2 linked regions of the Drosophila melanogaster genome follow. The gene in region 2 interacts genetically with the main gene of each other region. Each region holds a gene or a part of one and is shown on either strand. Other genes may lie near its edges.

Region 1 (3,756 bases), on a different chromosome or scaffold from region 2:
TGTCTTCCGCCCCCGCTTCCGCTGCCCTGCGCTGCGTCGACGCTGCCGCCGCTGGACCCATAAGCGGACACTAGAGCGTAAGAGAAAGGAAGAGATCAGAGATACTATCAGATATCGGCGGGAATTATACAAATATATATGTGTGTATATATAATTATTGCGATGTATTTGCTTGCCGCCTTCGTTGTGCGCCGTTCTGTGCTGGTTCATTGACCGGATCGCTCGGACACCGCTCCTCTGCAAAATGCACCTGTTTTCTTGCACACCTGACTACGTCAGCGTCAAGAGTTGCCAAAACGATAATAAAAGCAAAGGGTAGGGCGAAAAGTGTGGACACACACCGCAGGAAAAACACTGCCAATTCCCATTTAAGATCTGATATAGAGCCAGCCCAGAGTCATGCATTCTTTTTTTAACTCAAGATGCAAAATTCGTTCTAAAATTAGTTGTTGAATTGGTGGTCATACTAGTGAGTTAAAGATAGTAAGCACATGATGCTGCCATATAAAAAAAAACGAATTGGAACATTTCTCTTCCTTTCCGAAGAATCTACTTTTGCTAGCAATATTTTTTTCCTGTGCATTGGCAGGCCAGCAGAGGTAAGTAAAAAAGAAGCTCTACCTTAATTTTAGAACCAGACGGAACTGAACTGAAATTATTACACAATATGCAGGCGCAGATACATAATTCTGCCGTTTGTAGATTCTATTTCCCCACGTTCCTATGACCATTTCACATGCTCACTCTTTTTGTTTTGTTGCTCTTCGCTCTTCGTTCGCTGATGGCTTGTGCAACAAAAATAGACCCAACGTTATAAACAAGAATGAAAAAATCAAGCAACAGGGTAAAACCTGTAAGTGGCAGCAGCTGTGTTTTCGATGATAATCCGCGACATTTGATATTCCAACACTCCATTTCTAATTTCCAAAAAAACATGTGGCGAGAGCAAAGATACTTTTCCTTTCTATTCGTTGACTAATTGTGCAAACGCAAAAAAAAAAGTTGTCGGTCAGTTAAACTGACATGCAACAAATTTTTCTAGGCCAACTTCTCTGTTTCATCCAATGGGCTTACTAGTATAATAGAGTGCCCGTTCCGCCTTCATTCTCGATGATGATGATGACGATCCCTGAACCATCAGCACATTGCCATCGACCCGATCTCTATCTCTATCTCCATCTTCATCTACATCCCGCTTCACATCCAACAGCACCGTGTCCCAGGCACTTTTGGGCAGGAATTTAGAGATGATCTGATGGCCAGCGTCGTCGTCATCCGCCTGATCCTGATTGCCATTTGTTGGCCAATTTCTGACACGATGCTGGCAGCCAATTTGCGCCAAATAATTGATGTAATGAGGCGGATGATGGTGATTGTGGTGGCCGTTGTGCGGATGGTGGTTCAAGCTGCTGCTGCTGCTGGTGATGATGCTGCTACTGAAGCTGCCACCAGCTGCTGCACCAACCACGAATGGCGCCCAATCCGCGGTGGCCTTGTCAACCGGATCGCCGCCATTCATTGACTGCCAATAAACCAGGGCCGTCGACATATCACTGGCAATCGGAATCGCAATCGGAATCGCGAACGCACTTTGCACTAACCGCTTCCTTTTTTCAATCAAAATGATATGCTTATTTCGTTTATTTTTATATAGTTTATTTAAGTAATTTAAGATCCATTTGGATCTGGCTGTATGAAGCGCGGTCTGTTTCGTGTGAAAATTCAGCGCAAACTGCCTCGGTTTTTGTTCCCCCAGTTCTGTCCCCAAAGTTTGCCACTCGTCGTTGTTGTTGTTGTTGTCGTCTGTTTTATTTATACGGAACCGTGTTTTCTCCCTGCTCTTTTATTTCACTTGGTGTTTTTGCACTTTTTTGCTGCACTTATGCGGAACACACGAACGAAGCCGAGCGCCGATAGCGAGATTGCAGCAACGATCATCACGATCTCGGCGTGGTAATGATCATGAAGCTAAAGTAGGGAATGCCCGGCTATCTGGCATCGGAATTCGCTATATTAACACTACACTAGACTCGTTCAGTGTTGCACAATTGCATTTGAGTAAATGGGAAATAGAAAAATCTCTTGGTGATATCTCTTGGTCAAATCCATACCTTTCGACCTTTGTTTCGGAGTGCACATCTCTGGTGTTGAAGAAGCTCAACTGATTGAAACAGTGTTGGGTAAATACCTTTCAGTATCTCCATATTGATCACAGAGTTACTTGCACTTGCTTGTGATTAACCACAAACGAATAAATCGGTTTTCTTAGGTATTCTCCCCCATTATTGTTGGTGAAAAGCTCACTTCTGGCTGGCCTTTTGTTTTCTATCACAAGTGTTTTTTTTGACAGAGGGAGTTCCGCTTTTCGTTGATAATGGCATTTCAATAATGACATGTAGCGTAGTGACATGTAGCGAATGCATGTGGGGTAAATGGGGGAACGCTGGGTGGTTGTGGGTGGGAAAGTGCTCGCACTTGTCTCGTGCGCGCAAAGATACAAATATACATACATACATACATACATACATATGTAAGTATGCATTTCTTTGTTTCGGCTTTTGCGTCGTCGGCAAGTCAAGGAAATCAAAACAAAGCAAACGAAATGTGAAATTAAAATAAAATGTAATTAACCCCAGGCAAAAAGTGTGTGTACATAATGCAGTGCGTTACAAAACTGTATAACTGGTTGAGCTGCCACTTGGCAGAGTGGGCCATAAAAATAGGAAATCGTTTTCGAAACTAAAATGCCCAGTAATGCCAAACGATTTTGAAATAATTATAAACTTGTGTTCTTTCGAGTTATGTAAATGTCTGTCTACACGCCAAGCTAATTTGTGTTTTCCATTTCGCCAAAGCAATTAAAAAATATTTTGCTTTTATAATAAACAAATTGAACGCTTGCCAATCGATGGAAGAGTTGAATAATTAATGCGTTCGGGGCCCCTCGAAAGATTCGCAGGAGCATAGCCACCAGTCCCTCTATTTATAGGGATCCCATCCGATCCGATCCGATCCGATCCTCCGTTCGCAATGTGGGATCTTTGCCCCAAAGTTCTCATGTTCGTTGTTTGTCTGTCGCGTCTCTCGGCCGAAAATAAAAATAGTTGACGACATTTTGCGTTCGCTCCCCGCCACCTTTTTGGCCACTTGCATTTTGGGCGAGGAATGAGGGGGGGGGGGGGGATAGGGCCACTACCAACAATCACACACCATCGATAATTGCATCCGGAGCAGGTGACTCACATCGTGACGTGACTGCGACTGTAATACTACTATTACCCACCACTTGACAACTTTATGAACAGATGGCGGCGCCAGCTAATCGGATACTAAAGTCTCGACATATTTGGCAAATAATGGGGAAGTCCCGCATAGACTTACGGGTTTTTCAAAACAGTGCGGATTGGAACAAATACAGACGGTGACGGTTGAGTGATAAGCAAACAGTTGGACATATTATTTACTGAATGAATGCAGTGACATTGTTGCATTCCTCGCCTGAGCAGGAAAAGCGGTGGAAATGGTGGGGAAAGGCAGCCCAAATTAGCTGTTCGAAATCTGGCCATTATTTAAAATAGCACCTGATCCTGATACTAATTATTATTATCGGTGATATGCCCCATTTGCGTGGAATTATTGCAGAACATGGCACTGCCATCGAAAGCAGTAATATTGAACTGATTTATTCTCGAAAGGTAAATAATGTAGTATCGTTACAGCTGTACTACTGCGGCCACATTAACACCATTTTTTATC
Region 2 (3,756 bases):
TGGCCTCGCCCTCCTTGCTGCCAACAAGGGAGCTGCCTAGCAGATTCACCACCGTCTGATAGCCGTAACGTTGCCTCATCATGCTCATGTGTCGATCAAAGGCGGCGGCCGATGTCTCGAATCCTCGTGATAGCTTCACCTTGTGCGAGCCAACCTGGACGCCTGGCTGTTCCCAGAAGAGTGGCACCGATCCTCGCGTCTGCACATAACTAGTAACATCGCCGTCCACGTAGATCACTTGCTCGGTTTCCACAAAGTTAGCCACATAGCCCTCATCGTTGGTACCACGGACATTGAAACGCGTGCCAGCCCGTTCGCAGCTCAGTCGGGAAATGATGGCGGCACGGGCCTGTTTGGCACCGATGTAGACGGTGCGCACTTCTACGGAGCCGCACATGGCTTGCAACAACCAGGACTGGCAATCGATACCGAAGCGCATCAGGTGGATGTGCATCATGCGATTCCAGAAGAAACGGTTGTCCGTCTCCTGCGTTTGCTGGCGTCGCTGGGCGCAAAGCGTAATATCGAACCGATACGATGACGCTCCGGATGCCGATGCACTGGCATTGGTGTGGGCAAAGTAGAAGGTGCCCGAGTTGAGCAGCTTGCGCACCTCGCTGATCTTGTCTTCGTTGGGCGCTGCATTTTGTAGCGAGACAAAAGTGGTTTGTGTGATCCGGAAGATCTCGATGTCGCCGATCTTGCCCATGGACACACAGCCGGTGACCAGCACCAGGAACAGCACGGTGCTCTCGCCGGCGTTTAGTTGGAGGGCACCCAGACATCCGTAGGCGTCGCAGACCTTGGTGTACTGCTTCCGGATGACATCCGTCTCCTGCTGGGTCAGCAGGGCCACCGCATGGGACTCGAACAGGATGCTGTCGCTCTTGTTCCGATGCTCCAGTAATACGCTGTGCGGCGAGGGGGCAATGGACTTCTCCAGCACACGGATCACCTTGGACATGGCCATCTTGTTGGTATCTCTCTTCCGTGTGTCTTCTTTTGAGTCGAGTAATGTGATTTCGTCCTTTACTGTCTGCAGTTTAAGTTTTGCGTCCAGCTAAAGCTAAGACATCTGTTGGTGGGGAAATACAATTTAATTGTGGGTGTATTTCACAAGTTACATTTTTAAAGGGTGTATCAGTTACATAATAGAGATCTATTATTTTTATAAGAATAGTACTTCGTTTTTAAGGTGTAGGTTTAATATTGGGATTCGTCGTTTGCAATGCTACAATTATAGGACTCATTCGATTTCAATTTATGAGCAACACTTTTAAAACTAATTTATCGTAATATTTTTTTTACTAAGTAATAAGTTATTATCAACTACGCTACATTCGTTGTTTTTTTAAGTTTTAAAAAATATTTTGGTGAGTGTTTTACTTGCTAAGTTAAGTTATTTTGTGCACTTCGTAATAGCTCAAATGAGCTCAAATTTGGGGTTAATTTAATACCACAAAGTTTTTGATTCTTTTAATTTTAGGATTTGCACGAGGTGAGTGGAAATGGGAAAGTTCAACTAGTACAACAGACACTTTGAACCGAAATGGCACTAAAATTTCGGGCGCCTGTTAAAAATCAATAGGCAACTCTTAAACATAAACAAACCGAAAAGCGGAGGAATTTTTCCAATATCTTCCGCCTCCCACTCAAGTTCACCCACACACGCACACACAGCAATGACATGCACCGGCGGCAGCTGTGCTCTCTCTCGCTCTCTCCCACTCACTGCTGGCGCGTGCGTGTGTTTGTGAGTGACTGATAAACATTTTTTGTGCATTCTATGGATTTTTCACGAGAAATTTGCACAGGCATTTGACTGTTTTTAGAGGCAGCCAACGAACGGCATGCTTGGCGACCACTTAAAAGAGGAAACACTAGATTTCACGAAACTATTGGCTCCTCAAATGAATTTTTTACGCCTCTTAATACTCCTAATACCTTTGTTTGCGATTTTATTGCAAAATTCTGGAGAGCTTTGGGTGGTATGACCGTATTTGGTAAGCCGGAAAACGACAGCATTCTATATGGCCTCGATAATTATCGAGCTGTTGACAGAGATCTGCGCGCCGAACTAAAGATTTGAATTTAAATTGTGTACTAAAACATCAAAGTCAAGTGTATTGACCACTTTTGAAGATTACGGCGGACACTTGACGATAGCCCGAGGCTAGGGGCTTCGCTCAGTGCCCTGAAGTATCTGAACCATTTTTCATCAAACTGGGACAAATATAGTCTTTATCTCAATTGTCCCAAAACTGCACACTTTTCAAATTATATGATAAGAAACGACCCAAAAAGTTGGCAATATTTCTGATGCTAAGATTACACTTGCGCTTCTTTCGGCAAACAGGAAGCAATTCAATGCTGTTTTAAGATAATTAGGTCTCAGAAACAACGTTTCATGGAGCTTAGTCACTCAAAATTGCATGCTACGATAGAATGTAGAACGCTTAATCGCCTACTGTTTGCATTGGTCCGTATGCACATATGGAATGTAATGATTATTTATTTATTGTTTCACTATGCTCTGATTTTTTTTTTGGCACTTCTCACGTGCGCACCATGCTCCTCCAATTCGATTAGATAGCCCCATTGCGGACATTTTGAGTAATCTCAATGGTCGCAACAAAACCTCTAATTGTAAATCACAGACAATCGGGTGATTCATTCCAATCCGCCTTATCAGAAACCGGAGGACGCAAATAAATTTGCATTGCATCGCATTCTTTGTGAACCAGAAAAGTAAATAAAGTCAGATTTATATTGGTCATGCTTCTCAGTTTATTCGATAAGTATGTTTGACTAGTTGTAGGCTTAGAATACGAATTGATTTAAAAAATACGCACTAATTACTCAAATACTCGTACATTATTTCCATAGTTCGGCTTACATACATATGTAGCTCTTGGCAAGCGAAGCAACAATTCTAGTCGAAGGGTTTTCGCATTCCCCCCCATATGTTATCTAATCGCTTAACTGAAATTCGAGTGGATTGCCGTGCCTTGGGTACTGATAACGATTGATTAATTTACATAATTCCAGCAAGATATGGCCGCTTTCGGAATTTTTAGCACTCCCCCCAAGTACGTCATTCCGTTTAAATTGCATTTTCGCCCATTTTAGGCAGGGCGGCTGTGCAAAAAAAAAAGTATCAGCAGTCGTTAATAGTGTATGCCCACCAAATATATCATCTACCCCGCCTGGTTCATTTGAATGCGTCTGCGCCTAATTGTTATATTGTTATAACCTAATGCGTAAGCTAAAGGCGTCGGCCTAGGTTGGTTCCGGACCTGCATCGAAGGTCCAACCACATATGTATATATGTATATTTCTCCCTCCCTTTGCCGCTGATATGCCCGCTTCTCGTATCTGTAGTCATTTAATTCATAAATATGTTTTTGTGTCTCTCGCTTGTCATGGCTTAAGTTCATTAAGATAAGGGGCTGGCTGTGTGGAAAGAAATCGAAAGAATTTTCCCCCACACCAATCCCATGCGATCATTTGACTGGAAGGTTCTACGAGCAGCATCTAGAGTACGCTATAATGGTCGCCACCAGCCTGACCCATCACCTCCCACATAACTTAGACACAAACAGGGGCGCAATCGCCGCCAAGCCCGCATTAGGAGCGTAGGGTCGAGTCAAGTGAGTGCGGTGATAATTACGCTGAAACCGACTATGGTCGATGGTGTGACTCAGCCAAACGTTTCTCACCTATTTGGCCAAAAGGCCCCTGAGTCAGCTAACTGAT

Evidence for each region.
Region 1: of Synj (region 2) and mnb, changing one suppresses a phenotype caused by changing the other (phenotypic suppression), as found in Drosophila melanogaster (one study listed by BioGRID).

The regions. Positions count from the first base shown.
Region 1 is NC_004354.4:17,873,331-17,877,086, forward strand, and holds the start of mnb (minibrain), read right to left. Parts: upstream 1,711-3,756; 5' UTR 1,550-1,710; coding exon 1,075-1,549; intron 71-1,074; coding exon 1-70. UniProt on the Drosophila melanogaster protein: Role in the specific control of proper proliferation of optic lobe neuronal progeny.
Region 2 is NT_033778.4:22,078,394-22,082,149, reverse strand, and holds the start of Synj (synaptojanin), read right to left. Parts: upstream 1,975-3,756; 5' UTR 1,945-1,974; intron 1,708-1,944; exon of another isoform or gene 1,612-1,707; intron 1,466-1,611; exon of another isoform or gene 1,387-1,465; intron 1,076-1,386; 5' UTR 971-1,075; coding exon 1-970.